6 linked regions of the Danio rerio genome follow. The protein of the gene in region 1 purifies or fractionates together with the protein of each later gene. This does not show direct contact. Links are inferred from orthologs where the notes say so. Each region holds a gene or a part of one and is shown in the gene's direction. Other genes may lie near its edges. The genes, in order: shc1, abl1, inppl1b, ret, ap2m1b and gab2.

Region 1 (5,001 bases):
AAATCACTTCAGAACAGACGCTAATTCACGTGGTGGGCAGGGCTTCTGTCTGCCCGGTGACTGTAGCTTCATTGCTAAATGTCTAACATAGATTTTATTGAGAAAATAACAGTGTTTATGTGCTTTATGAAGGCTGAAAAACAGCGTTGATACGTTTGGAGCAGTTCACTAGATCCTTTCAGAGGTGCACCCAGCTCTGTGAGCTCATAAACTCCTCTAGAAACTTAAACTAGATGATGGAAGCATTTAGCGGTGCTTCTGACTGAGCCAAGCCCAGTTGATGAACTGTTGTTGGTGTAGACAGGGAATTTTCCCCCGGGACACCAACAACAGGCGCTACGTCATAATCACGTCCACACAAGAGCAAGCTCCTGATTGGTAAACGCGGCACGAATGTCCGCTGAAGTTTAGATTTTTGAACTTGAATGATTCATGCGAAAAGCGAGTCAAACGCGCAAAACATTCAATTTGCGCCGTGCCATTCACATGTATTGAGTCATTTGCTTCGCACCATGCCATTCATGCATATCACGGTGCAGGATGTCTATTCACGCCTTTGCCTTGACTTAACATGTAAATCATTCCCACTTGATGCTTCTTCCATGTCTGGTGTGAACACAGCATAAAAGTATAGTGTCCCCTTAACTTCACAGGGGCATTAGGGTTGAGTGCCCCCTGCTGCTAGTAACAGTATTAATTTGTTGAAGCCATGTTATACTAAAAAAAACAAGCAGACAAAAACTTGTGAAACAAATTTGACAAATTCTTTGTAACAATGAAAAAATCTTCATTGTCTGTTTTGTTTGTTTTTTATCGTATTGACCCCACATTTTTGTACAGGTTTCTATCATTTTACAAAACCAAACATTCAATAAAAACCATAAAGCATAATTTAATGAATAAAGTATGGACCTAATAAATTTTACGCTTGATGATAGCTTATTTACAATTGAATGTGGTAAAGCAGGGTAGTATGCTGTGTTTTTTCCTATTTTGAAAACAATACTTTGGTTTACTATACTTAGTAAATTAGTTCAGTAATACTGCAGATGTAGATTCACAGAGTAAAAATGCTCCAACCATCCAGTGATGCTCTGCTTTCTTTCTTCAGAACCGTTTGATGCAGCGCTCGTTGTGTCGGGTGCAGTGGCACTTCCTCTGGCAGAGCAGCTGCAGAACGAGCCCTGGTTTCACGGGCCTCTGAGCCGCAGGCAGGCCGAAAGACTCCTGACCAAGGATGGAGACTTCCTGGTGCGGGAGTCAGGCACCACACCAGGCCAGTACGTCCTCACGGGACAGCAGGGCGGACAACCAAAACACCTGCTTCTGGTGGATCCAGAGGGAGTGGTGAGTAACAAGACGAAATTTAACCACACATTATTCACAGGTAATAAGTGACTCTTTGTGAATATGTGATAAAGTATAGAGTATGACATAGTCTGTGTCCAAAATAGTACACTATGCAATCTGTACTGTGTACTTATGCATTTACACATTCAACAGAATAGTATAGGTATGTAGTGTCGTCCTAAAAGTAACACTAACACTTTTTTTTACTTGGCAGAAATTCAAAGCTTATCCCAGATAATGGTTGACGATTGTCAAATTAATGAAATAAATGACCGAACTACCAAATAACACCTGCCATGAGTGTAACCGCATTCACCATCGGAAGTCGGTATAATCATCGTAGGAGAATTTTACTTTCACAATCCAAAATAAATAAAGTAATCCAACATCAGTGCTCGAAAACTCCGCCCCTTCTGCTTCTGCGTCCATCATTCCACACTTATTTTTAAGTTAAATAAGTGCAAAATCAGGGTATTAAAAGTTCACTATTCAGTGAGAAGGCACTACTTACACCATTTATACCACAAAATGGTGTAGAATAGAGGATAAGTATGTGATTTGGGATGCACCTATAATCATTTTATGACTCCACACGCTTCTTTGATAACAGAGTGACATAATACAATCTAATATTGTTTTTTATTTAATTATAAACAGAATTCATGTGTGGGTAAAATTTACCTGCACTGGCGGTTTTCGGTATATTGACCTCAGCGTATTTTGTTCTAGTGTTAATTTGTTGTGCCATTATAGACCATTTTAATATGGTGATGACATTAGCCCATGAATAGTTTCTCCTTGTTGTATAGTTATTTTATAACTGTAACAGAGGAATTCAATCATAACTTTACTCTAAAACAGCTATCATAATATTATTTATCAATTTGTGGACCTATTTGGATTCTCATAAGGTATGGAAATGAAAAATGTAAGAGGAAATACTTTAGGACTAGTGTTATTGTTTATATCCCTCAAAATGGTCTATAAAAGAACGCTAAAATGTATTTAGTATGATAATACTGCGTTGCTTTACTCCACGTGATCCGACCAGAAGAATTGGAAGCAGTTGACTGTGGCATAACAAAAGCTCAGCTGCTTTCCTGCCACATCACGTCCATCTCTTATCAGCAATTGCTTCAGCAGTCTCATTTCACTTCAGTGGCTTTCAGTCTTGTAGGGTGTTCACACCAGACATACCTTGCATGAGTACATAACATTATTCACATGGAATAAGACACTTGAACATTTTGAGTTTACTCATTTGATTCGGACGTGAAATTTACTTCACAAAAGATGCAAAATCATTCCAGCTTTGTTGACAGATTTTTTTGGGAGGGTAGCTTTGCTTTATGTGAAAAAAAAGGCTGAATGGTGCAGTTTCTGGGTCCATCAAATCTTTCAGAGTCACATCCAGTGTAGTGATTTTTACCAATTCCTTCAGGAGCTGCACCTGTATGATGACAGCTACTAGAGCAAGACTAGATGATTGGTTAATGCTGCTCGAATGTGCACCAAAGTTCAGATTTTTTAACCTGAGTGATTTGAGAAAATCACACATTAAGCACATCGACTTAAAGTGTTCGAATATTTTCTCAAATGGGTAGCGACTTGGACCCGGAAACAGTGTTCCATACGTCACCGATACATCACGAGTGGATAGCCCCTTTCACATATAGAGACCTTTCTGAAAAAGGGATCATGTGTGAACAGACCCTTTTTGAAAATACCGGTAAATTCATTCCGGCAATTTTCTGGAAAGAGAAGTTGTAACATCACTGGTAATTTGCCGGAATGCTCTGTTTGAACGCAGGGGGAAAATTACAGAAAAGAGCCCGTTTGCGTTCAAAACGTGCTGACGTGAGACGTCTACTCCAGCCAATCTGGACATTCAGATGCATTCAAATCCATGCTGCTTATGAAAATAAAAGCCTTTGAACATTTTTCCAGGCACGTTTAGCTGCTAGATGTAAGTCAGATAACATTTCTATGTTCCTTCTTAATGCCAACTGTGTAAAAAATTTGCGATAAAATGCTTATGAAAAAACGCAGTTTGTTTACCTTCAAGCTCTGCTTCAGTTGCTTGATGTGTGCTCCGCTGAGCGCCAGCACACACACATATGTACATCTCGACATGCGAAAGTGTTCCTTCATATGTTTGCATCGAAATTGTTCACAATACTTAGCCATCCACAGAATTTGTAATGTTGTCAAATGTGTAAATATTTAGCTGCCATTCACGCTTCCTTCTTTGGATGTCTCTGGGACAAAGCAGCAGCATGAATGCTAAAGCTTGGATGCTACATGCTAAATACAAGTGAAACCATCAACAAAAGCCTGACCCCGTATATGTTTACAAATTCAAGTGCAAATGTTTAGAGGTAATTTCTAGTTAAGGATGTCAGAATTTACCAGCATTTTGAAATGGATGTGTGAATGGTCTTTTTTTTCTTTTTTCAATTTACCATTAAAGTCATTGCATAAGTTTTCTGGATATTTACCAGTATGACTGTGTAAAAGGGACTATTATGTACATATACTATATATATTTTTAATAGATTGACGATCAGTCATTAATAAATAGCATCCTAAATAGGTAAAGTTTGCCAGAGTTATGCATTTCCAATTGAATTTTTATCCGTATAGCGCGTTAATATGCCTTGTATTCTTTCCTTTGCCATTTCATAGGTGCGCACCAAAGACCACCGCTTTGAGAGCGTCAGTCACTTGATCAGCTACCACATGGACAACCGGCTGCCAATCATCTCTGCAGGAAGTGAGGTGTGTCTGCAGCAACCGGTCGATCGCAAAGCTTGAGAAACGCTTTAGAGAGAAATAGAAACTCTCCTTCATACCTTTTTTATTTTTGCCTGACTCTATCAGAGAAACAGTTTTTGTTCCAACTGGGAGTGTAAGCTAATCCCATCGTCCCAGAAACACTTGAGTTTTCTGCTGCATCAACCACCGGCCGTGAAATTACAAAGCGATGTAATCATTCTATTCAAAGTCTAAAGCAAACGTCGCTTGAGGAAAGCGATTGCAAAAAGCCAAACGAATAGGCTTCAAGAAGAGGAGCAGATGCGTAATGGATGTGACATCACTTCCTTCCCAGTAACCATGGCAACCAGCCAGGGCATTCTTGTCAAGAGCTGATGTGAATGTAGTAAAATTGCAGACCCTTTGTAGCACTGGAAAGATTCACATGCAGTGCGGTGGGCCAAATCCAAAGACACGTTAGCGATTAGTTTTTAAATCCTGTCGTCGCTGTGGTTTCAAGACTGTTGATGAATATGCAAAACTTTAAAGACAACACAGCTCATTCTCCATCAACTGAACCACATCTGTTGTCATTTCCATTGGAAGATCCCTTTTCCCAGTGTTCCTATTGAAGAATAACACTCAGAATGCCACTCATTCTCACTCACACCACATGCCGAACACGATCCCGTGGAGAAATTGGGAATTTTGGCCATTCGGGAAGACCCCTGATCATATGTGAAAGCTTTAGCAGCTCGGATGCTGTCTGGATTTTTTGTTGCCTTATGCAATTGAGCAGATGCTGTGAGGGACATATGCTGCCCGTATTAGGTGTGATAAACTGGTCTGTGGGAAAGGGGAACATGTTCGCTTTCCACACAACATCAATCTGGGACA
Region 2 (5,001 bases), on another chromosome or scaffold:
AGGAACTTAAGTTTAATAATAGTTTCCTGCATGGTCGGATAATCATGAAGCACACCATTATGGCATGACTGTCAGTCATTGTTTATGCTACATGTTATACAAGTGAGTACATGTATATGTTTGATTCTGAATAGTACAGTTGAAAGCAGAAGTGTACATAAACTCTATAAAAGGAGCATGAAAAATATCTGATGGTAAATGATCCTGAATGTTCACTATTTTAGGTCTGTTAGGATTAACTAAATGATTTACATTTGCTCAATGCCAGAATAATGAGAGAATTGTTTATTAATTTCTAGACAGTCAATAGTTAACACACATTTTCTTGGTATTTTAGCTTTGCTTTTAAACTGTAGAACTTTGGTCAGATGTTTTGGGTCACCGTCCACAAGCTTCTCACAATAGTTTGCAGGAGTTTTGGCTCATTCCTCCTGACAGAATTGCTGTAACTGAGTCAGATTTGTAGGCTTTCTGCTCACACAAGCTTTTTCAACTCTGCCCACACATTCTCTATAGGATTGAGATCAGGGCTTTGTGATGGCCACTCCAAAACATTCACTCTGTTGTCCTTAGAGCACACTTGAACTCATTTAACAGTGTGCTTAGGGTCATGGTCTGTCTGGAAGAGCCATTTGTGGCCAAGTTGTAATGTCCTGGCTGATGTGTTGAGATGTTGCTTCAGTATTTCTGCATAATGTTCTGTCTTCATGATGCCATCTATGCTGTGAAGTGGACCAGTCCCTCCTGCAGCAAAACAGCCCCACAACATGATGCTGCCGCCCCCATACTGCACAGTTGGGATGGTGTTGCTAGGCTTGTAAGCTTTCCCCTTTGTCCTCATATTGCTCGTTATGGCCAAACAGTTCAATCTTACTCCATCAGAGCACAGGACTTGTCTCCAAACATTAGTCTTTTCCCAGTGTCAATTATCTAATGGTAATCTGGCTTTGTTGTTGATTCCGGCTTGTTGATTTTCCCATGTTGCTCATCATCGAGAATCTTTTTTCCACTCTTGATCTTCTAACCAAAATCTGATCCATATTTGGCCGCCTCATCCAGCTAAAATCTTGACTATAGTGGGACTTCACTACAATTAGAGTGAATTGACGGTCTGGTTTATCTTTCAGGGATCTGGCAGCCCGTAACTGCTTGGTCGGGGAAAACAACCTGGTTAAAGTGGCAGATTTTGGGCTAAGCCGGCTGATGACGGGAGACACATACACAGCCCACGCTGGAGCAAAGTTCCCCATTAAATGGACTGCGCCGGAGAGTCTGGCCTATAACAAGTTCTCCATCAAGTCAGACGTGTGGGGTACGCATGGACAGACAAAAGAACACACTTCCACTGTTACAAATGATGTTTACAGTAGTTTTATGTTTTCATTGTGTTTTCTCTCATTTACCTTCTTTTGTCTCAACATTTAACTCATTTTATTTAGTTGTCTTACTTTTTTCAAGTTATTTATAAACTGTACTGCAAATGTAGTTAATGGAGCCTCTCGTTTTTGTGGCTTCAGGCATTGTTGGGATATATTTGAATGCTGTTTTAATGCATAAACAATTAATAAATTGCTATGCATATTATTGATGGAGAAGGTATTACCTTTTCAAAATTATATTTGTATATAATATAAAATAATTAATTAAAGTGTTTTCGCCATGTCCACTGAGCCATCTTTCCACATTCAGACATGCATGTGTGAGAAACTGATCCTCTGATTTGACCTCCTTCAGCATTTGGAGTCCTGCTTTGGGAGATCGCCACCTATGGGATGTCTCCGTATCCAGGAATCGACCTGTCTCAGGTGTATGAGCTGCTGGAGAAAGACTACCGCATGGACAGACCCGAGGGATGCCCAGAGAAAGTCTATGAGCTCATGAGGGCCTGTAAGCAGATCCTTCTACACAATCTCTGAAAGAAAGAGTAGACAAAGTGACACCCTATCATGCACACTGTGCAATGCAAGTGTTGTTTAGCTTTTATCAGCTCAGCGCAGGTTTCATTTTAACGTCCTGTGCCCTGTTTATATGGCAAATCTGCTTTGGTGCAATTGAAGCTTGCTTCTAAAGGTAATTGAATCTGCTTGGTTTAATGCATATTACACTCAAAGCACACCCATGACTCTTTAACGACGTAAGGACATCCCTTTTAGACCAGTTTTCCCATCCTTAAAATTGTAAAAGTGGATTCAGACTTGCTCCAAGTGCATTTATATCGTTAAAATGGAGCCCAGTGAGTAAACCTGTATGACTGTAGTGTTTCTGTCTTTAGGTTGGAGGTGGAACCCTGCCGAGCGCCCTTCTTTTGCTGAGACCCATCAGGCGTTCGAGACCATGTTTCAAGAGTCCAGTATCTCTGATGGTATGAGCTTTCAAAATCTTTAATCAAACTGTTTTGAATAATAACACCATGTGTGTGTATTTATGGCCATGTGGAGTCTGATTTGAGGTTACTGTCTTACTGTCAACTCTAAATTACAATTAGTAACGGATTCAGATGTTCCCTATCTATGCATTCTGCACTATTTTACATTAATAATGCATTCAGTTTACTGTAAATCTGTACCTCTCTGGTGGCTCATCCTCATTCTTGTTGCATTGCAGAGGTGGAGAAAGAGTTGGGGAAAAAAGGAAAGAAGCTGACCCTGGGACCAATACAGCAGGCGCCAGAACTTCCAACTAAAACCAGGACACTACGAAGACCTACAGACGGCAGGGATGGGGACAGTCCCGGTAAGCTCTTCTCTCTCAGACCTCTGCTTATTTTCGTTATTATCGAGCAGTTGTACTGATGAACTAAACTTTCTCCAGACGCAGCCGAGGCCGAGGTCACTGGACCCCCGATGATGCCGAGGCCACTCCTAGATAGCAACCTGAATGAAGATGATCGGCTCCAGTCTAAAGATAATAAGGATAAATTTCGAATGAATCCCTTCAGTTATATTAAGAAAAAGAAGAGGACGGCTCCGGCGCCCCCAAAGCGCAGCAGCTCCTTTGGGAAGATGGACGGACACCTAGACCGTAGAGGATTGGGTACTGACTGCAGGGAGGATTTCAGCAACGGGTCTTCCACCAATGATGCCTTAAACAGCATTGACCCTTGCAAATTAGTTGGGTCAAACAGTACCACGACCATCGGGGTCACCAACGGAGCTCCAGTGTATCCCGGTCAGCTCTTCCCATCTCATCCACGGAAAAAGGGCACTACATCGGGTGGTGGAGGGAAGCTTGCCACGACTCCACCTCCAGAGGAGGACTCCATGTCAAACTCCAAACGCTTCCTACGATCTTCTTCTTCCTCCAGCATGCCTCCAGGCTCTGATCGCTTCGAATGGAAGTCCGTAACCCTGCCGCGGGACATTCAGTCAACACACTTTGATTCTAACACATTCAGAGGCAAGCCAGCTTTACCTCGTAAGAGCTGCATGCCACGAGGTGGCACGCTTACCCCACCACCACGCCTTCCCAAGAAAAGTGAAGATGTTTCAGACGAAGTCTTCAAGGACTCTGAGTCTAGTCCTGGATCAAGTCCTTTAACTCTGACTCCCAAGCTAGGCCGCCGACCCCAAACAGAAAGCTCCAAAACTAGTGCCTTACAAACAGAGGTATTAAAACCCAATGTGCTTCCACCTCTTGGAGACGAAGGCAGACCTCGAAGACTCAAACTGTCCTCTGAAATCCCAGGACAGAGAGAGCGGGAGAAGGGGAAGTTTGCGAAACCCAAACCCGCTCCCCCTCCTCCTCCGGTGTCCAGTGCCAAATCTGGAAAGACCTCAAGGAGTCCGACTTTTGAGGTGTCTTCAGATACCAAAGTCAAGAGTTCACTAGACTCCGCAGATCAAGGCAAGGCTAGTCTATCCCAAGAAAGTGCTAAAAAGTTGCCCAAAAATGGCTCAAAGGTAAACCCCTCGAAGGCAGGTGCGACTGCTCCTCTACCTGGAATGGGAGCCAGTCCTGTGGTCGGGGATCCGGGATCCAGCTTCATCCCACTGATGACGACGCGACGTTCACTGAGGAAGGCTCCAGCACGGCAGCCATCAGAGCGACTCTCCAGCTCCACCATCACTCGAGACATGCTGTTGGAGAGCTCTGAGCTCCTGCGTACCGCCATTGCACGTGTCTCCGAGCAGACCGGCAGCCACAGCGCTGTCCTGGAGGCGGGGAAAAATCTGTCCAAGTACTGCGTCAGCTACGTGGAGTCCATCCAGCAGATGCGGAACAAGTTTGCTTTCCGCGAAGCCATCAATAAGCTGGAGAGCAGCCTGCGCGAGCTGCAGATCTGCCCCGCGGCCACCGGCACCGCAAACACTCCGCAGGACTTCTCAAAGCTGCTGTGCTCCGTCAAGGAGATCAGCGACATCGTGCAGAGGTAGCAGAGAACGGCGCCACTGGAAACACAGTATCTCGATGTCTGGGGCCATGTCTTACATTTCAGTTCAACACACCTCAGCTTATCTCATGCCAAATAGAGGAACGTTTGTTCAGTGTCTTATTACTGTGTGCACAAAAGGGGGAACGTTTGATGCAGAGCTGTGCTGAAGAGTAGGTCAAGAAATCAACTCTGCCACTTTCAAAATGCATTGCTATTCTCTCTGGAATCTATTCTGAGATTAGTTTTTAACAGCAGTCGGCGCTCTAGGCTATTGTTTAACAGCAGACGGCACTTTAGGCTAGTCTTTAGCAGCAAACGCTAAACCCACAATGGATCTTCCTCATGAGCATTTTTTGTATAGTTAAAAACTAGCCTAAAGCCCCATCTGCTGTTAAACACTAGCATAGAGCGCTGTCTACTGTTTGTATCTTGCTTAGAGTGCCATCTGCTATTTAAAACTAGCCTAGAGCACCATTTGCCGTTTCACACAAGCGTAGAGCGCCGTCTGCCATTAGACACTAACCTAGAGTGCCGTCTGCAGGTAAACACTAGCCTAGAGTGCCATTTGCTGTTAAAACAAGCCTAGACCGCCCTCTGCTGTTAAAAACTAGTCTTGAGCGCCACCTGCT
Region 3 (5,001 bases), on another chromosome or scaffold:
ACATTCTAATCAGCCAATCACATGGCTGCAACTCAATGCATTTAGGCATGTAGACATGGTCAAGATGATCTGCGTCAGAATGGGGAACAAAGGTGATTTAACTGACTTTAAACATGGCATGGTTATTGGTGCCACACAAGCTGGTCTGAGTATTTCAGAAACTGCTGATCTACTGTGATTTTCATGCACAACCATCTCTAGGGTTTACAGAGAATGGTCTGAAAAAGAGAAAATATCCAGTGAGCAGCAGTTCTGTGGGCACAAATGCCTTGTTGATGCCAGAGGTCAGAGGAGAATGACCAGACTGGTTCCAGCTGATAGAAAGGCAACAGTAACTCAAATAACCACTCATTACAACTGAGGTATGCAGAAGAGCATCTCTGAACCTTGAGACAGATGGGCTACAGCTGCAGAAGACCACACCGGGTGCCACTCCTGTCAGCTAAGAACAGGAAACTGAGGCTACAATTCACACAAGCTCACCAAATTTGGACAATAGAAGATTGGAAAAACATTGCCTGGTCTGGTGAGTCTCAATTTCTGTTGTGACATTCGGGTCAGAATTTGGCATCAACATGAATTCATCCTGTCTTGTATCTATGGTTCGGGCTGGTGGTGTTGTAATGGTGTGGGGCATATTTTCCTGGCACACTTTGGGCCCATTAGAACCAACTGAGCATCGTGTCAACACCACAGCCTATATTGTTGCTGACCATGTCCATTACTTTATAACCACAGTGTACCCATCTTCTGATGGCTACTTCCAGCAGGATAACGTGTCATGTCATAAAATTCTAATCATCTCAGACTTGTTTTTTGAACATGACAATGAATCCACTTTACTCAAATGGCCTCCACAGTCACCATATCTCAATCCAATAGAGCACCCTCGGGATGTAGTGGAATAAGAGATTTGCAACATGGATGTGCAGCCAACAAATCTGCAGCAACTTTGTGATGCTATCATGTCAATAGGGACCAACATCTCTGAGGAATATTTCCAGTACCTTGTTGAATCTAAGCCACAAAGGATTAGGGCAGATCTGAAGGCAAAAGGGGGTCCAACCCAGTACTAGTAAGGTGTGCCTAATAAAGTGGCCGGTGAGTGTATGTATAAGTCTTTTTATTTATATTATATTAAATGTCATTTTTCTTTTGGTTCTGTTCTTCAGGGTGTACAGATGACATCTTCACCAGTGAGCACTCTCCTGTGTTTGCAACCTTTGAAGTGGGTGTCATATCACAGTTTCCCAGAACTGGTATGGGAATCTGCCTGTGACTTTGAATCTGAAGTTTTTGCCCTTTAGATCATTTCATAACTTGAGTTATATTAGGAGTTGCTAAACAAGCATTTTGTTAAGGAACAACCATTTCCTTTTGCCACTAATATCAAGCCTGTTTCCACTGCATCAACATGTGAAGGCCCTAAAGGTCATTCATTAAGGGAGAGCGCACAAATTTTTTTTAAATGAACATTGTGTCATCATTAACTCATACTCATGTCATTCCAAGTCTTTTTGATAAGTGTCAGTGAATAAATGTAAATTAAAGTAATAGTTCACCCCAGCATTTGAATTCTCTCATCATCACTCACCCTCCACTTTTTATCTTCTGTTGAACACAAAGTAAGATATTTTGAATAAAGCTGGAAAGAAGCAGCCATTGACTGCCATAGGCATCTTTTTTTCCAACTGTGAGTGTCCAACATTCTTCAGAATATCTTGTGTTGTGTTTAGAATCACTTGAGCATGATTAAATAGTGGCGAAATTGTCATTTTTGGGTAAACCATCCCTTAAAGCCAAAATTACATATGTGATGTTTTCTTTCATAAAATGAATTAAACAGGCATCACGGTGGCTTAGTGGATAGCACTGTCGCCTAACATCATTAAGGTCGCTGGTTCAAGCCCCAGGTGAGCCAGTTGGCATTTCTGTGTGGAGTTTGCATGTTCTCCCTGTGTTTGCGTGGGTTTCCTCATGGTGCTCTGGTTTCCCCCACAGTCCAAAGACATGCGTTATATGTGAATTGAATAAACTGAAATTGGCCGTAGTGTATGTGCTGCATGTAAGATTATATGGGTGTTTCCCAGTATAGGGTTGCAGCTGGAAGGGCATCCGCTGTGTAAAACATATGCTGGTGGTTCATTCCGCTGTGGCGACCCCTGATGAGTAAAGGGACTAAGCCAAAGGAAAATGAATGACTGAATGAATGAATTGATTAAACTGCTTGATTAATCTATAAATGTACTTTTTGATGGGTCAACGTTTTGGTTGAACTGACTTGCAATGGAAAAAATAAATGTTTTATCTTTTATTTAACCATAAGGGTGAATAAATAGTGATAGAGTTGACTTTTTTGGGTGGACTGAATTATAAATTATATTTGTAATCCGTGTTCAGCAACAGTACTTATACTTTCCATGTAACATAAGGCATGAGTGCATGGTAAATGCTGTTGACACTGGAGAGCACTAGTTGCTACTATGCATGTGATGATCTTGACCATATATATATATATATATATATATATATATATATATATATATATATATATATATATATATATATATATATATTTGTATATATATATATATACTCTTTTCCAGAGTCCTGTTCAGAGAGAGCCAGCATTGAACTGGAGGCGATTGAGGCTATAGTGAAAACTTCTAGCAAGGCCAAGTTTTTCATCGAGTTCCACTCCCGCTGTCTGGAAGGTATGTTTTTTGCTATAATCAGTGAGGAGAGTGAGCATGCAATGGTATGTTGCTTGTCTGGTTTTCTTTTGAAACATCTGTATGTCATGAGATATATGTGACAGCTCTTTTTGTCACCATCATGTTTCTTCTTTGTAGAGCCTCGTCGATCAGCTGAAAATGACTCCCAGTACTGTGAGGTGCCAGGGTTTCTCAAACTTGGTTGGTCTTCAAAACAGTTGCCCAAGGTTGAGTCCGAGATCACCTTCTGTTCATTTTAACTATGCTTCTTAATGAGGATTTCTTATTTGTTTTTCCTTATTTTTTTACAGCTTCACCCAGTGTTCTTGGATTTAGAGCATCTGCGGGATCAGCACTTGCTGTTGTCTGTGAAGTCATGTGATGGCTTTGAGTCATATGGTACATGGTCATAATGTCTTTCTGAAAGAAATTCCTCTGAAACAGTTGTTTGGTTTTTAGAAACATTTACCTCATAACCAAGAGCATAACACAGCAAACAGTTTAATTCAGGTGATTTGAGAGCACTTTCTTTAACATTTTAGGGGAGTGCTGTGTGGCTCTTCGCCCAACAGCAGGGAAATTATTGGACACATTTGAGACATGCTTGACCCACAGAGGTGAAGAGATGGGCTCTATTCGAGGTCGATTCAGAGTATATGTACCACCAGACCGCCGAAGGATCCGGGAAAGAGTCTATGGTGGGTTATCCGTGCTTTTACTATATCGTTTCTGCAAATGTACCATAGACACTCACCCACCCTACATTTCTTTTAGTTTTAGTTCCTCCTCTGCTTTGGCTCTGTTTTCACTTTTCTATCTACCATTTCTTCCTCTTTTGGCGTGCAGTTGCCTGATGTTGTCCAGATGCATCCTGAAACCTCACTGAAATATGACACTCACCATGCTGCTCACTGAATGAACAGTGGCATTACCACATATGTCTGCAGTATTAACACAGTTTGACGCAAGGCATTTCTTGTGCACATTACAGAGTGGCTCAGCATTGAGAAGGATGAGAGGGAAATGATGAAGGACCAACTGTCTCCCCCTTCTTCCAGTGCATTCTCTATCAAGTAAGTGACTAGCAGCACAAAGCTAATAAATAGGGTTTTTTGTTATGGTAATCACTGTTTGGTTTTTTTATTAAATGTCACCCTGATTTACTTTTCATCATTGCACTATAGAGCACCGTCAGCCTCATATGTGGCATCTCCAAACAGCTACACCAATCCTGCATACTTCATCTTTGAGGAAATGCCTGTGTTTCGGAAAGCCGAAGAGATTCCTTCAACTATTAAAGAATCCCAAGTAGTATGTGCTAATAACACTGTGATACAGCTGCCTAGAGTGACTGGAAGCCACGGCCATGGCAAAAGGTCTGCTAGGAGGTCCGACTTCACCGAAATCGAGATTCCTGGCTCCTTAGCACCCTATAAACCATCTTGCGAGACTCAGAGTGAACTTTCATCGACTGCATCCTCTTATCAGCTTTTTCCGGGTCCACATGTCCCTAGTACATCCCCAAACCAAAGACACACCACACATTCCTCAAATTCATCTTTACAGCTACAGTCCCATAAGAACAATATGGCACCGGATTCAGAATTATCAGGCAAAAAACTTACAAACTCATATATGAACCATTCAGTTTTTTCTAGAGACATGCATAAAGAAAAAGTCAGACAAGACTATCAAGGGGTGCACCAAGGTCGGCCTGTGCCAATCCGAAATGGACCAAAGCTGTATCCTTATGTGTCCACTAGAGTTCCTGCCCAGTCTTCAGCTTCCTGGATAGTAGAGCAGCCCACTCCAGCTTCAGGAGACAACTCACTCACAGCCCTCCAGATTGCTAAATCACTCAGTGAGGTGGACTTTCAGCCAGCAGACAAAAAGTATCCCTTTCATCAAATGCCGTCTCAACAAAGGCAGCATGGGTATGATTATGGCTTAGCTAGTGAGAGAAACTACAGTTGGGAGAAAGAGGTGAGTTGGGTAATGTTCATCTCGCCATGATTGCAGTACATAATATTTTAATAGATATTTTTCAAATATACTAGTGATAAAAGTATATAAAGGCTTGAAGGGCCATGAAACCCCACTTTTTTGGTTCAAGTCTACCTCAGAATTTTTTCAAAAAATGCTTCATAATGGGCGTGGAGCTCTGTGAGTAGAGGGAGGAGTTGTCGTGGCCGGCAGAGCAGGGAAAAAAGTGGGAGCGAACAGCTGTTGTCAGTTGGCTCACAAAGTGAGACACAAAGCGTGAGGAGACCCATGACTTTATAATTTA
Region 4 (5,605 bases), on another chromosome or scaffold:
CCTGGCTGGTGAAATGATCTTTGTAACCCTCATCCAAACCTGAATCCTTGACAATATTCGAAAGACACTTGAATTAATTAATATACAAAACAAAATAAATACATTTCCTCATCAATTTTTACTATTTATTACAGCTATTTATTGATTCATTTTACATTCATAAAAAATCCCTTTATTAATCCGGGGTCGCCACAGCGGAATGAACCACCAACTTATTTAGCACATGTTTTTACGCAGCAGATGCCCTTCCAGCTGCAACCCATCTCTGGGAAACATCCATACACACTCATTCACACACATACACTATGGACAATTTAGCCTACCCAATTCACCTGTACCATATGTCAGTATAGTGATACCAGTACATTTTTGTTCTGGGGACGTTTCTTGCTTCCTCATGAGGAACAGTGACTCATAACTCAAATGGTTCTAAACTTTTATTGACTATATTCTGAAATGCTGAAGTGCGCTCATTTTTGCGATTGTTAAAGAACTTCCCGATTCAGTTCCTGTGTGAGAAATTACTATGAATGGCAGAAGGCGGTCAGAGTACTTGCTCAACAAACAAGTGTGTTCATGACTATACATAAAAAGTATAATAATATAATATTAGTTTGCAACATTAAGCAGCATAACAAGCTATTTTTAATGTCTAAAATTGAATGGAAGTAAATAAGACTGGAAGTCTTGAGCTAAAACGATTTAAATGCTGGCTTCTGCTCGTATACATGAAGAATAAAATCAATACAATTTTGTTATAGTTGTTGAACAATATATTCTAAAGAATGTTGGGGGAAAACAGCTATTGCCATCTTCTTTTTTAATTCTTCAGAATATCTTGTTTTGTGTTTTAAATAGGAAAGTAACTCGTACACATTTGGAACAAGTGGAGGATGAGTAAATGACAACAGAATTTTCTTTTTTGGGTGAACTATCCCTTTAACTGCACCCTGTTTTCACTTTTCCCTAAGTCCTTTTCATTTTTATGTACGTAGATACAAGAGTCTGTTTAATTATTATATGTGAATGAGCATTTTTGAAGAAGAGAGCGGCTAGTTACACATCATTTACTATATTGACATGTGAAGACTTGGCTTCAGAGCTCATTTTCACTGTTATTGACGAGGAAAAAATACATAGTTCATGTAACATATATTGATCTTGTGTGAAAACATGACCCCAAATCATCATGCTCTCATGCTGCTGTATAAGATGTCAGAATTAAACACTTTTTTGTTGTTGTTGTTGAACATTAAGACATTTCCTTTTTTTAAAAATCGAAATGTTATATTGTGTTAATTACCTTATAATTAATATAATGCAGTTATAGTTTTTTATAGGCATGTATAGGCATATATTAACTTTCTGAAGAATTTACTTATAGTCCAATTGTCAATTTCCCTATGTGACAGCAAGCTGAAGTGTAGGCATTAATGCAGTTACTGATTATTGTAAAGGCTACAGATTAATGATACTATAAAGTTAAACAGTGTTGCTCTTTTACACTGCAAGGGAATCGGTATATCTAAAACTATTAATTCTTAATAATATGACAGGTAAGGGGAAACCAGAAGTCACACTGGAGACACCTTTAACGAGCACATTATTTGCATGTCCTCAAAATTTCGTTTTAATTCAGGAAGAAGTCTTGGGCTCATTGGAGACCCGCTGATGTGATTCAGGACATAAACACACATCTGAGGAAATTGGCTGGATGAGATGTGAACCTCCCCCTGCTGTGCTCTCTCTCTCTCTCTCTCTCTCTCTCTCTCTCTCTCCCTCCCTGTGTGTGTAAGAGAGAGTGAGCGCGCGCGCGCGGACGGTCCAGCAGCTCGCGCCGCAGTCGCCCGTCAATGGGACACTCACGTTGAGGACTTTCGTGGCTCCTTTCGCTCGAATCAAAACAAGGCAAAGTTCTGTTGTCAGGAATCAAAATACTTTTACCTGTTCGTTGTGACATTACACTTATGATTGACAATTATGGGAAGTACGCGGGGAATCGTGTGGGGAGTGCTCCTGCTTCTCCTGTCTGAAGGTAAGGGTTTATACTCCATAATAGCCTGATGCCCTCGCGCGAACTGTCCGCTCTTTAGCCATCACTGTGTGGGATAAACAACTGTGTTGAGAGGCAGAGCTGGTGAATGACTGTCTAGAGACTGTCACACTTGTCGTATTTTAACTTAAACTGAATTGTCGCCTTTAGTGAACATCCTTTAGTAACCAGTGACAACACGGGGTTGTGTGTCAAAACCCTGGAAAGCAGCCTACATAGACTGCATGTTGCTTCTCAGATGAAATGGTTTCTCATTTCTGTTGTCTTAATTTTTATACAACATTCAAGAAACCCGCAAATATACTTTCATAATCTTCATTCATTCATTTTCTTGTCGGCTTAGTCCCTTTATTAATCTGGGGTCGCCACAGCGGAATGAACCGCCAACTTTTATAATATTCAAAGTATAAATTGTTTTTTTATATATAACTGGAGGGTCCTTTAATGAACCCAATGTTCAGAAAAATAACCTGTTCGAGGGTGTAGATGGGAAGCTCGCAATAGGTTTTAAGACAAAGCCATGGTCCAAACAATGAATATAAGAATTCATAGCATAAGTTTTTCTACTTGTTTTTGCTTTGGATAATTTTATAAGTCATTAAATATATATTCGTATTTGAGGTTTCAGTTTATATGAATTTTATTAATCTATAAATACCGAAACGCAGTAAATTAAGAACATTTTGCAAATGTTTTGTCTACTGGTTTTCTTTCTCAAAGACATTTTTAAGTGATGGACAAACTTTTATTCTGTTTAATTATTAAAAAGTTATTGATAATACTTTAGCAATGGTTCAATAACAAGTTAAATTTGCTTCCTGGAAACTATGGATTTAATTTAATTATGTAAACAATTATGTTTAAGTGTACTTGGGGTGTTATTTGCCATGTTTAAGCAAAACTGGTTTCAAAGTGAACCTAAACCCTACTTTTCAGTGTAATAAAGGCAAATCATTTTTACCATTTTATATTTAGTTATAATAATTTTAAGTTGTGTTTCATTTTGCATCATGTTTTAAATGTAACTCTGCTCAGCAGACAACAAAGAGTTCATCTGTATATCCATGGGGTCTGCATTCGGTCCCTAAACACAGACAACTGAGCGCTTCTAGAGAAATTGACCAGACAGTTTCATAGTGTCAAAGACAAAATATGTACAATCCTAATGTACCACATGGTCCATGCTAGCAACACGCTTGTGTCCATACATCAATATATTATAATCCCACTTAAAACCCCTGTGCCCAACTGTACTAACACACATCTCTCAAAATAACTGCAGATAACTAGAGTTGAACCCGTTCCTGAATAGATCCTAAATCTCAGTGTGTGGTCAGCTGCATTAAAAAGGAATGGTTGCATCGTGACAGCTTGAATACAGACAAAAGTGGAGCATAGCAGAGGTTTCACAGCTATTCCGGTCATTCGGAAGACATTTGGCAGTGTGTGAATGCAAAAGTGTTGCATTTGTCTTTGTTAGTGGATGGCAAGGATGATGTTAACTGAATGAATATTACTTATGAGTCAAAAAGTAAGAGAACAACCAAAGATGCTTTCAGATGTTAATTTAATCTTGCAGTCTAATAATAATGGGAAATTGCATTTTAATGGTCATGTGGACTCATCATGTAGTCAGCTGCCTAATAAACCCAATAAAATCAGATATGCTGCAGTTTTTTTCCTGAGCAACTTAAATTGAATCATTTCGCCTTGCAAGGTGCATTACAGTAGATCAAGATATTACTAGATAAATGTATATACTGCGTTGTTTGTCATGATTGAATGAGGTTTTCAATGCATATTAAAATGATAGTTAATCAAACATTACTCACTTCCAAAGCTTTATAATTGCCCTTCTTCTAATGAAACCAAAACAAAATATTTTAAAGAAAGATGAAAACCTGTTACCATGACTTCCACAGTAGGAAAAACAAATACTGTGCAAGTCAATGGTGACAGGTTTCCAACATTTTTCAAAATATCTTCTTTTGTGTTCAACAAAAAGAAACTCATGAAGGTTTGGAACAACTTGTGGGTGTACATGTACTTAATCTTTGTTATCTGATAAGGTGATCATGATGACATGTAACCTGCACTGAGACTATGCAAGTTTATGCAGAATCTATCAGATATTTGATATGATAATGATTCTGTGAAATTCTTAATAATGTAATTAATTTTTTTTATTACTTTTTAATCATTTTGTAGAAAGCTGAAAACCTGTAACCGTTGACTTCCATAGTAGAAAAAACAAATAGAAGTCAATGGTTACAGGTTTCCAACATTTAAAAAAAAAAACATCTTTTGTGTTCAACAAGAAAAAAACTCTTGCAGCTTTGGGGCAACTTGAGGGTAAGTACATAGTAAGTTTAAATGAATGGTGAGCTATAAAATAAGCTACAAAAATATGTAGATATGTGTAGATTACTTAAGAACTTTATGGTACTGATTGCAAACTGCATCATGAAAATTGTAGCCAGTAATCTAGTCTAAATTTCTAATTTAAATAATGTAATCTGATTACTGGGAATACTTTTTGATTACTTTCAACTTGTTTACTTCTTTTAAAAATTGGTTTCCAAACTCAAAAGCTTGGGTTCACAAAACTGATTTTCCATGCTCATGTCAATTTTCAAAGCCAAATAATGCTTTGATAATCTACACATATACAGTAGAATTCTTTTTTATAAAGGAAATTGTATTAGAGAAAAATAGAATCTCTTAAAATCAATGAATTATGAATAAATGACATTGCGTGAATAATTTGTAAACATATTCTATAAAAGATTATTTAATTAGATTATAAACAGTTTAAATGCTATATATTGAAATTACATGTACTTAATTTTTGATTATCTGATGAAGTAATCTAGATTACATGTAACCTGCACTGAGAATATGCAAGTAAATGCAGAATCTAGCAGATGTTTGATATGATAATGATTCTGTGAAATTGTTAATAATGTAATAAATTTTTTTCATTACTTTTTAATCATTTTGAAGAAAGCTGAAAACCTGTAACCATTGACTTTCATAGTAGAAAAACAAATAGAAGTCAATGGTTACAGGCTTCCAACATTTTTGGAACTTGAGAGTAAATAATGAGTTTAAATTAATAGAGGGTCACACTTTAATTTGATGGTTTGTTGAAGTTCAGTTACACTGCATCTACATACCAACCAATTCTCATTAGATAAGACTAAGACTTTGGTTGGAGTTGAGGTTAGGATTAGGGTTGGTGTTAAATGTCTTGAACATCTGTATTGACAGATATTAAGCAGACAGTCTACTAATGCTGAAATGGACCATCAAAATAAGGTGGTACCTAATGGTGTGCTATAAAAGAATCTACAAAAATATGTAGTACATGTAGATTACTCAAATGAAACATAGAATCTGGGAAAATCAATTAATTGTGAATAATAAAAATAAAGAGCATGAAGTTAGGTTATAAGCATTTTAAAATGTAATATCAAATTACATGTGCTTAATTTGATTATCTGATTAAGTAATCCAGATAACATGTGACCCGCACTGAGAATATGCAAATAG
Region 5 (4,615 bases), on another chromosome or scaffold:
AATAGAAGAAAGAAACTAATTGCTTTTGAACGAGTTAAGTGATTATATGATTACAAAATATTCATTTTTGGTAAACTATCCCTTTAAGGATGCTTAAAGGTGCTGTATGGAAGTTTTTGACTTTTCTGAAGCATAAAAATACCATAATATGATTGCAAATATTTAGGAAACATGCTTAGTGAACATTCTTGTGTACCTGAAAAGCAATGCTGAAGTCAGATATTTTGCTTTGAAAATGTGAGTTATGTGCCGGTAGGGCTGGTTTTTGTTTTGGTCCCATTAACCCGCCCACTGCTGGTTTAGCCAATTAAATTTCAGCACCCTGGGTTGCCGTTGTGATTCATTCAGTCATGAAGGCTCTGAAAGCATGCATCCATGAGCCAAATGCATCCTCCGGTGGACAGTTGCAGTCTCCGAAATGAGATGCAGATTCAGAGTTCCACATGATTTTATTATATAGCAAATAATATAAATATTATGAACGTAAACATTAGGTGAGCAGGTTACATTGTAACCTCATGTCCTAACAAATTATGTGATGAGATTTGCAGTGATGAGCAATTTGGCTGGTTGCACCAGACGAAACACGACAGAAATTTAATTACAGCCATTCAGAAGCACAGAATAGAACAGTTGCTGCACTCCAATGCAAGGGTAAGCTTTATAATCTAATTAATGCATATTAAACCTCTTTAACGTTATTAAATATAGATGCTGAATCACTGATATGTATTGGTTTGCACTGTCACAGTTCTAAAGTTTAATTTTAAACGGTTTATTTTATTTTTAGGATCTGAGGTGAACTATGCTGCTGCTTTCAGTAGTATGGCAATAAACGTCATGTCAAAGGGCATTCAAACTCACATTATTAGCATTTAACACTGAATAAAGCACATGAGGTGTACCTGTGCTGATCATTGCAATAGTATCTGGATGCAGCCTTTATGATGCAAGCTGAGACTGCATCACTCAGCGATGCAATGTGAGACACAATGCACTCAAATGGAGCTAGTGACGTCACTGTGAAGGGTAGGATTAGGGGTGGGGTTTGGTGGGCCCATTAAAAAGCATTGTATGCAGCCCAGATTGCACTGCACCAGGTCTGCAGCCAGACCCATCTCGATCATTGTCAGTTTTTTCTGTTGTTCAGTTGCAAAAAAAATAGAAGCCGCTTCTAATATATATATATATATATATATATATATATGGAAAATATTTCTTCTATCATGTTGGCTTTTAGTTAGAGCATGACCTAAAAAAACTTTGTTGGTGTCGTCAGTCTGGCAACCAGCTCTTGCGTGTGTTTTGAACCAGGGGTGCAATACCTAGGTCAACCACTGGGTGTCAAACTTGCATACTGCACCTTTAATATACAGTGGGACCCATATTTTGTATGTCCTGTGCAATTGGCTTGTCATTTATGCTAATACAAAAGTATTTTCATTGATTTATTCAGAGATTTGCATTGCTGAAATAGTTTTCTGTCTTTTCTAGGTACCCTTTGCTCCATCAGGGCTGAAAGTGCGCTACCTGAAGGTCTTCGAGCCGAAGCTGAACTACAGCGACCATGATGTCATCAAATGGGTGCGTTACATCGGCCGCAGCGGCATCTATGAGACCCGCTGCTAACAGAAGCCCCTCGGTGAGGAGGAGGGAGAGACGGCGAGCAGATATTCATAGTCTCGCTCTCCCTTCCTCAGCGCTTTACACGGGACTCTGTTCACAGCCAAAACATCAACAAAGGGAATCCAAAACAATACCCATCAAAACAAGAACAAAACACATGAGGTGAAGTTCATCTGCACTTATAAAAATGACGTTAATCATCATGTACCCCTAAAGAAGTTCACTTATTATGAGATGAGATGTAACCCCCCCCCCTCCACTCGGTTCTCCTTTATTCCACAACATGCATTCCAGACCCCCAGTCCCCATTGAAGCCCAGCTCATGTGGGGCTCTGGCCTCTTTTTATCCGGTGATTATCACTGAACTTGTGTTCCTGCTCGCAGGCGCTATCAATGTGGACATTTCCCACTCTAATCCCCGCCAAATCTGGAGATCATATTAAAATAACCTTCATGCTTCATTTTCGTAGTGGCGTATTAGTTGGGTATCGTCCACGTTCTTGTTCTCAGTGAATTAGTGTAAACGTTAAGCCAACAAAAACCCCATGGGTACAAGTTTTACATATGCAGATGTTACATTTTCGATTTAATTTCTAAAATGATTTCTCAATGTGACCAAAAGGAGGTGCGAGGGTGGTTGACTTAAAGCAACAAATTGTACTAGTGCTTATGTCCAGTTGTCTGTGTGCGTATACGCTGCTATCTACACCGTAACAAAACAATAACACGGAGTCCAGCTTTCATTTGGTGTCATATAGTGACTGGTTTGTGTGTGCGTGTGTATGTGTGTGAGAGTCCGGGGTCCCCAACATCTCTCAGGGACATTGCATTTGTGTGCTTAACCTTCGTTCAGTGACTCTCATGGTCGTTTACCACTTTGTTTACTTGACTGAAGTTTACCGCTTGAGTTTGTCAAGTGCACCGAGTCCGTCTTTTGCTTGGGTCAAATCTCTCCCTGCATTTCAACATTCCTCTTGAGATTAGTTTTGTGGAGCAAATGCAACTTCAAAAAGGCGCATTTCACTAAATACATAAGAGGAGAGGGGGCTGGAATATTAGGGAGTCCCTCTGATTGTTCCCAGGGATGATTTCTAAACCTCTTTCCTTGCTCCTGATCTAAGGCAGGAGATTTTGGAGATGTCAAAACATAAAAGCAGGTCTTCCTTTAAGGTCTTGAACACTGCACTGGTTCCTTTCATGTGTGTATAAACTCTGCCAAATAGCCAGAGGATTTATCCTAATGCAAAGGCGTTTTAGTTAAGCGACGCACCGTTTAGGAAATGACCTTGCTGTTGATGAGAATTCTGCCCTCTACACTTGTGTGATCTACATTCTGCTACAGCCAACACTACAGACTCGACCCTGCAGGTTTAAATGAGCTTCTTGTTGATCGTTTGTGGTCGGACCTCAGTGTGTAGCTGCTCTGAGAGATGATGTGGCTCCGTTTACAGCGTATTGTCTTCATTTGGTAACTTTGTGACTTTCGTCTTGATCCTAATAAAATGTGTAATCAATTACTCTTAGTAGTGTTTGTTTTTTTTATATATCCTGCATACAAGTTCTCCCATTTTGTCAGCCATCTTTAAAGATACTCTCCCTCTCTGTTGTTTGGAAATAGGCTCATTTTGCAAGTCCCCCTATAGTTAAACGGTTTTACCATTTTTTTTTTTTTTATCCATTCTGCCGATCTCTGGAAACACTTTTAGCTTAGCTTAGCATAGACAATTGAATCTGATTAGACCATTAGCATCTCAAAAATTCAAAAATATATATATTTTCCTATATAAAGCTTGACTACTCTGTAGTTACGTCATATAATATGTCCAACAGAAATAAAAAGTTGCTATTTTGTATGCCGATATGGCTGAGAACTATTCTGGCGCAGCAATCAAGGGACTTTGCTGCAGCAGGCGCAATGATATTACGAAGCACTTATACATAGCTGCGGACTATTTACTGGCATTGCATTGCGTAATATCATTGCCCTGTAGTACACAATGTAGCTACAGAATAACCAAGCTTTTAATAGGGAATTTATTGAAACACTTTTTACTTTTGAGAAAGTTGCTAATGGTCTAATCTGATTCAATGATCTATGCTAAGCTAAGCTAAATGTGCTCCCAATCAGTCCTAGAAATCAGATGAATAGTTTCAATAAATTTATTCATTTAAGCTTAGTTACTTTCGAGCTTTTCAGAGAACTTTTGCATGGTTGTGCTCCATTGACTTATTTAACTACAACTGTTTATCAGCAACTGTTTATTAAGTTAAAGGTTTGATTCTGATTACAACTTGAAGTGGTGATGATGTCTTCAAATATTCTGAGAAGCTCTTTAAAAAGTGCATTTATTTTTTTTATATTTTAAAAAAAAAATTATAAGAAGAAAACTTCATAAAAGCAGCAACGCATACCTTTTATAAAGCCTTGTATTTGTTGTGGTCGTCTGATAGTTGGTGGTCTGAAGGCGTGGTTCGCACGTTGTGAAACATTCTGGGTTTTTCTTCCCTCTGCAGCAGGGATGGACAGGCGCTGTTTGTGTGGGAAGTCACTCATTAGTGCAAGTATTTAGGCTGACGTCATGGCCAATCATTAAGTGGGTGCAGGAGCCAGAAGACCTACTGATGGATCGATGGCTAATTAAACTCTCATCTCTCAGGGCCCCTGAAAGAGGATCTCCTGTCCCGCTACTCTTTTTCTCCTCCGTCCTTCCGTCTCCCTCTCCCTTTCTTTTTTCGCTCTTTCCCAGAGTGAGTGACAGCAAAGGGTCAAGCAGCCCCCGGTTCCGCAGTCACCTGGAGCGCAGCCAAAGCCTGGGCCTCCAGCCAGATTCAAAACCACTCGCAAAAGATATGAGGCTGCCTTTCAGGTGCCCTTCTTCAAATCCACGTTTCTCTCTGCTCCAGGAATTCCATACTTTATGTTGATGTCACTGCTATGCGAACGAGATTGACTGAAAACCAGCCGTCAGCTTGGTGAATAATGACACGG
Region 6 (5,726 bases), on another chromosome or scaffold:
AGACATACTGTGAAAATGTCATTGCTCTGTTAAACATCATTTGGGAAATATTTAAAAAAAAATCTAAATCAAAAGGGGGCTATGTATATATATATATATATATGTATATATATATATATATATGTATATATATATATATATATATATATGTATATATATATATATATATATATATATATATATATATATATATATATACATTTGCAGTGGGTAATTTACAGAATGTCTGCATGAAATGAGCTTTATTTATATTCGAATGATTGTTTTTGCCATGAAAGAACAATCTGTAATTCTTACCCAGACAATGTATTTGTGCTTTTGCCAAAAAAAAATATGCCTGTGCAACATTAATACTGGTTTTGTGGGCCAGGCTCACAAATACTTAAAGTTAAATATAGTTATTTGTTTGTGGATTGTTTAGAAAATGTAATAAATTATTTATATTTTGCAAATTCTTTTTTATTTTAAAATGTTCCTCTTTGAAACTCAAATATTTTGTTTAGTTTTATTCAGAATGTAGAATTGCTATGTAAATGCCAAATGTCTATTAATTTTTAATCCAAACATCAGAATTTGTGGGCAATTAAAACTAAACGGTCAAATTGACTAATACAAAAGCCCCATTGACTTCCATTGTAACCAAAAAAAAATTTTTTTATTACAAAACAATCTAACAATGCAACAAAGCCAATGTTGTTACTAATCATTCACATGCTCAAGACTGTGATAAAGGGTAAAAAAATCCAGTCCACATTTACTTTTTATATTGGAAGATATGTCATTTAGTGTGTGTGTGTGTGTGTGTGTGTGTTTTGTTTTTGTTTTTTTTCACCAAATCAATGTGATTATTTATGAATTTGACAATTAAAGAGTTAAAATCCTGTAATTTTCTAAACAATTTAGTTGTTTTGATCTGGACCGAGGTTGATTACCAGATTTATGCAAAAAATAAAAAATAAATAAATAAATAAATAAAAATGAAAATTAAAAAATTAAAACAAATGATCTGATGCATTTCACAGCAGTTTAATTCAGTGGATGTTTTCATCCCTAATATACAGTAAAAAAAAAAAAAAAAAGGTAGTACATTTGATTTTATTTTTTTCTATTTCAGATTTAAATGGCCAGATACCCTGTGGGGACGGAAGCAACACTGCTATTTATGTCCCACAGCCAACAGACAAACCTTATTTTTTTCTTTCACATTAGAGTTTGCAGTATTTGGACTCAGATCTTTTATAAAAATTAACATTGCCAATAATAATTGATGAAAATAACTAAGATTTTAGAAAATTGTAACATTTTGCAGTTTTGGTTTGCTTTTGAATCATTTGATTGAACTGAAATGTAAAATAAAAATATTTTTTGCAAAAATAAAGGACAAAATATGTTGTTTTGAATACTAACAAAGTCATAGTGAAATATATTTCAAATAAATAAGATTAAGTAAATCTAGCAAATATAGTTGTTACTTTACCGATGGGGTCAAAAGTAACAATGCAACTTTGTTTAAAGTGAAGTTATATTAAAGTTGTTCTACACCGATACAAAATAGCACTTGGTTTTGATAAAACACTCTTGTGGGTTAGTATTTCTGCTAAAAACAGTTTTAAAATTAGATTTTTTATGAAAAATTTTACTTTCGTACCCGCTTTCCCCTAATTAGCCTGTGTGTTACATTATTAGGCCTATTTTACATAATATTTTTTTGTAATGAAAACTACTATTTGTAAATAATCAACCAGCACTGAGAGCAAAATTGTGCATTACATACACCAGTCCACAAGGTGACGTGTTTCTCAAACTAATCAACAGATTGGGCGAAGTTACCGACGGCTGTTTCTAATCCCGAGAACACGTTCAGTGCGCTCTGTTGCGGCTCATTTGACAACACCGAGTTATTCCGTCCACGAAAGTACATTTGAACGTCTCAGACACCCTTACAAACTTTACACAAACCCACCAAAAGAGGGTGTAATGTAATAAAGACACCAACTACACATAAAACAGCCGGTGTGGCGAACTCCACACTTGCGCTTCATTGTCTCCGTTCATCCCTACAGCAAAGAGAAAGAGTCCCGTCCCTTGAACACAGTGGGCGTGGTGTATGTGCGAGTGAGTGGGAAAACAAACAGCAGACAACCAACACTTCCTACATCTTCAGCAACTCGAGCGTTCGTGCCCGCAGTGTTTACACAGAGTCCCGCAGCGCGCACAGGACGCGTCCCATCACCAGTAAATGAAGCTCCGCATCCACGGCACTGCCCCGCGCGCGCTCAACATACATGGACCCGCAGCATCTGAGGACTTCAGACTGATCTGCTGCTGTTGATTGTGTTTTTTGCTTTCTGTAAAATGAGCGGAGGAGAAATCATCTGTCAGGGATGGTTGAGAAAGTCGCCGCCCGAGAAGAAGCTGCGGAGATATGTGAGTGTTTAAAGCGCTATGTTCATTTTGTGGTTTATGTTGAGTCAATGAGGAGGAAAACTGTCAACTTTTAGCATCAAACTCTCTATTTGCAACATAGTCGTTCTAAGAAAAGAAAATACTGTTTTGAAATGTGTTTATTAACAGTTTGCTGGTTTAAGTTGGACTATTTAGAAGCAAAGCAGTTGTTTTGATGCTACAGTAGCAAGTGCATGAAGCCCATTTAAGACCAGCGACCAAACCAAGCTGATTAGGCTGGGAGACCAGCAAAACAGTTCAGACTGGTTTTGTTTAACATGTATATGATGATGCTATTATTTAGAGAGCACAGTGTCTGATTGCTGTTGTATTGTTATGCAGTATAGAAGCCTATTCATGACATTTGAGAAGTGTACAGTTGCTAAAATCAAAAGGTGGCCAGTTGATGTTCTAAGTTTGGATTAGTTTATGGAATGCTGTGTGGTAAATATTTAAAAATTTAAGGTTTGGAAGATTGTTTAATAGAGCCTTTTTAGAATTCTAATTTATAGAGTGGGTGGTGCAATGTTATGATCACATGACCTGTTATATGATGTCATTGGCCAAATGTTATTCTGTGTGACACTTTTAGTTTGTAATCATGGAAATAGAAAGTACGATACGTTACTTAGGCAGTGTTTACCCTTTTATTAGCTACAATTAATTAAAGATGATTTTCATGTACATTTTGTAAGTAAAGCCGGTTCTAGTCATAGAGCCTAGTTCACTGACAAGCTGTGCATAATCACGTTCAAAATATCAGGTGATTAAAACATCTAATAATTGATTAAAAAGAGAATAGTTCTGCAATAATATGTAGAATAACTGCGTATAACTTCTTTGTGAATATGGCTCTGTGTTGTTGCTGCTGCTGCCTCATCTGAAATCATGTAAAAATATCACATTTAATAACATACATTTTACTCCAAACTCACTTCATAACTTAATTCAAGAGCTTTAATAAACATTCTGAGAGGTGAGTCAGTACTCAGTTGCTTATATTAGTCATGTAAAATTCATGAACACAGTTCAATCTTGTGTGCCCAACTGTATGGGTATTTGAAGTCTTTTTTTTTAAGTGAAGCACCCTCTGGCCTTTTAAGGACATTTACTACTAATCACACAACTGTGCTTCCCTGACAAGATGTGCATGAGAATAGCAGCTTTTGCTTGATTGCGATTTCATTTCGGTCTACTCACCATACATTTTGACCTTCATTTAAATGAAAACGGTGATGTCATTTGCATGTATTATGTTTCCACTACAGCAGCATAGCATTTCTTTACTAAATTTATTTTTCTATTACAAAGTATTTCTTTTTCTGCTGGAAATATGTTGTTCTAAAAAAACTAAATAAAACATAAGTAAAATATCATACACATGCCTTAAGAACGGTATAGTAAAACATTTTGGTTTTAAAACCTTGACTTTTCCAAACCATGGTATACCTAGAAAACTGTTATCGTCTCATGCCTACTTGTCTGCATTTTGTCAGTAACGCCGGTTCCATGATTAGCTGGTGCATTTAGATAGAGCAGCATTTACTACACAGACCTGTAGTTTGCTGACATACCACACAATATTGCGTTTATTTCAATTTAATCTGTATTTCTGTGCAAGAGTGCCCTCTGGCCATCGCATTGAGATTACTACCGATCATAGAACAGAACCGATGTGCAATCTCAAATCATCTAAATTGTGTTTCCATTTAAGCGTATTATGTGGCCACTGGCCAGATATAGAATATTCTGTAGTTTTTGAATTTTCATGTGAACCAAGATATTTTTGACAATGTAATCTTGCTACGAGTGTGATAGTGCATTTATATAACAGTTCGACAGCATGATTGTGTGTATAAATAAGCTACGTGTGTGATATTGCGTTTATACAACAGTTCAACAGCAAAATTTTGTGTATAAATAAGCTCTGAGTGTGATATTGCATTTATACAACAGTTCGACAGCTAAATTGTGTGTATTCAAACACGGGGACTCTCAAAAACTCTTTTGTACAAGGAACTACTTTCTTCCGCCATTCACATCTGCAGCTGACGTCAGAACAGCAGAAACCTTTGGCAGTTTACAAACGTCACTTTAGAGCAGTTTGAATGATTATCTTGCGTAATGTCTAAAGTGATTGTAACAGCCCGGTTGGAGAAATAAAAGGATTAAACTCATGCACTGATGTTGCACTGTCCTCCTTTGTGCCTTTATTGTTGCATTTGCCGTCCTTAAAGACTGTACAACACCGTAAGAGCTAAGAACAGATGAATAAACACAAATAGAAAAGATATAATGAATAAAAATTCACATAATAAGACAAAACAATAAACTTAGTGACAATATTATAAAGTATCTGCAAATATATGACTAATTTTACGATAAAATAGCAATTTAAATTATTAGCAAGCCAACAAATGCATCAAATTTTAGCAATATGTATAAAAAATGTCCTCATCTACCTTGTTCTCCCTTCCAACCAGGTGTTCAAACAATGAAGATGAACAGAACAAAAAACAAACTCAAATATGCATTAAATCTCTTTTAAATCAGTCCTTAAATCTAACTTTAGCTCCGTGCATTTCTCTGTACAAGCGATCGCGCTCTCCCTCGTGCTAGGCGCGCTTCTCCGATCTCCCTGCTTCCGTGATCTGCGCGCTCTCGCGCACCTGACCACTTCCGGCAAGCCGCGCGTCAAAATAAGGGTCTCTATAGGCTAAATAACTTAGTGCAAAGCGGAGTTCAAATAAATAACAAAAACACAACAATTTTTAAAGAAATAGAGAAGTAATTAAAAGCGGCATAAATAATTAACACTGAAACCTAACTTAAATAACTTGGGGTTATTTACACTCCCACCAATCATGAGTGATTATGAATTTTAACCTTTTAATCACGAATGATTTTAAATGAATTATAATTACTACTACTACTACTATAACCATTTAAGACTAGATGTAAACAACACTAAAACATATACTACTATGAACTGTTTACTCAAAGGATATGTCAGTATGTTCAGGCTGCCTCCATCAGCAGGACCAGCTTCTGCACTGGACGTTCCACCACAGATGGTTTATGTGGACGTTTGCCATCCTTCCCCAGATTTCTGTCTCCGAACTGTATTTTCACTCTTCTCACCAATCCGTCCTTGTCAGTGACTGCCTCAATAATCCTTGCCAAGCGCCACTCATTCCTGGGCAGATCCACTGCCTTCTCCAAGACAATATCTCCTACTTGCATGTTCCTTCTTGGTGTATGCCAGCACTGTCTTGTTGTGA

Evidence for each region.
Region 2: the proteins of shc1 (region 1) and abl1 purify together in Homo sapiens (affinity purification with western blotting; 5 studies listed by BioGRID, with this or other methods). This does not show direct contact. The link is inferred for Danio rerio from reciprocal best matches to the Homo sapiens genes SHC1 and ABL1.
Region 3: the proteins of shc1 (region 1) and inppl1b purify together in Homo sapiens (affinity purification with western blotting; 4 studies listed by BioGRID and IntAct, with this or other methods). This does not show direct contact. The link is inferred for Danio rerio from reciprocal best matches to the Homo sapiens genes SHC1 and INPPL1.
Region 4: the proteins of shc1 (region 1) and ret purify together in Homo sapiens (affinity purification with western blotting; 4 studies listed by BioGRID and IntAct, with this or other methods). This does not show direct contact. The link is inferred for Danio rerio from reciprocal best matches to the Homo sapiens genes SHC1 and RET.
Region 5: the proteins of shc1 (region 1) and ap2m1b purify together in Homo sapiens (affinity purification with mass spectrometry; 3 studies listed by BioGRID and IntAct, with this or other methods). This does not show direct contact. The link is inferred for Danio rerio from reciprocal best matches to the Homo sapiens genes SHC1 and AP2M1.
Region 6: the proteins of shc1 (region 1) and gab2 purify together in Homo sapiens (affinity purification with western blotting; 6 studies listed by BioGRID and IntAct, with this or other methods). This does not show direct contact. The link is inferred for Danio rerio from reciprocal best matches to the Homo sapiens genes SHC1 and GAB2.

What each region holds. Positions count from the first base shown.
Region 1 is NC_133191.1:24,097,790-24,102,790, reverse strand, and holds part of shc1 (SHC-transforming protein 1), read left to right. Parts: intron 1-1,111; coding exon 1,112-1,347; intron 1,348-4,035; coding exon 4,036-4,164; 3' UTR 4,165-5,001. UniProt on the Homo sapiens protein: Signaling adapter that couples activated growth factor receptors to signaling pathways. Participates in a signaling cascade initiated by activated KIT and KITLG/SCF.
Region 2 is NC_133180.1:78,533,130-78,538,130, forward strand, and holds part of abl1 (tyrosine-protein kinase ABL1), read left to right. Parts: intron 1-1,127; coding exon 1,128-1,312; intron 1,313-1,734; coding exon 1,735-1,887; intron 1,888-2,272; coding exon 2,273-2,362; intron 2,363-2,604; coding exon 2,605-2,733; intron 2,734-2,811; coding exon 2,812-4,373; 3' UTR 4,374-4,669; coding exon of another isoform or gene 4,670-4,681; 3' UTR 4,682-5,001. UniProt on the Homo sapiens protein: Non-receptor tyrosine-protein kinase that plays a role in many key processes linked to cell growth and survival such as cytoskeleton remodeling in response to extracellular stimuli, cell motility and adhesion, receptor endocytosis, autophagy, DNA damage response and apoptosis.
Region 3 is NC_133189.1:37,342,656-37,347,656, reverse strand, and holds part of inppl1b (inositol polyphosphate phosphatase-like 1b), read left to right. Parts: intron 1-1,172; coding exon 1,173-1,259; intron 1,260-2,606; coding exon 2,607-2,714; intron 2,715-2,852; coding exon 2,853-2,941; intron 2,942-3,025; coding exon 3,026-3,113; intron 3,114-3,256; coding exon 3,257-3,412; intron 3,413-3,705; coding exon 3,706-3,787; intron 3,788-3,898; coding exon 3,899-4,697; intron 4,698-5,001. UniProt on the Homo sapiens protein: Phosphatidylinositol (PtdIns) phosphatase that specifically hydrolyzes the 5-phosphate of phosphatidylinositol-3,4,5-trisphosphate (PtdIns(3,4,5)P3) to produce PtdIns(3,4)P2, thereby negatively regulating the PI3K (phosphoinositide 3-kinase) pathways.
Region 4 is NC_133188.1:28,847,206-28,852,810, reverse strand, and holds the start of ret (proto-oncogene tyrosine-protein kinase receptor Ret precursor), read left to right. Parts: upstream 1-1,871; 5' UTR 1,872-1,980; coding exon 1,981-2,035; intron 2,036-5,605. UniProt on the Homo sapiens protein: Receptor tyrosine-protein kinase involved in numerous cellular mechanisms including cell proliferation, neuronal navigation, cell migration, and cell differentiation in response to glia cell line-derived growth family factors (GDNF, NRTN, ARTN, PSPN and GDF15).
Region 5 is NC_133193.1:48,980,674-48,985,288, forward strand, and holds the end of ap2m1b (AP-2 complex subunit mu-B), read left to right. Parts: intron 1-1,494; coding exon 1,495-1,629; 3' UTR 1,630-3,143; downstream 3,144-4,615.
Region 6 is NC_133190.1:10,781,601-10,787,326, reverse strand, and holds the start of gab2 (GRB2-associated-binding protein 2), read left to right. Parts: upstream 1-2,186; 5' UTR 2,187-2,355; coding exon 2,356-2,427; intron 2,428-4,627; exon of another isoform or gene 4,628-5,463; coding exon of another isoform or gene 5,464-5,726. Other genes in the region: uncharacterized protein, read right to left, coding at 5,464-5,726. UniProt on the Homo sapiens protein: Adapter protein which acts downstream of several membrane receptors including cytokine, antigen, hormone, cell matrix and growth factor receptors to regulate multiple signaling pathways.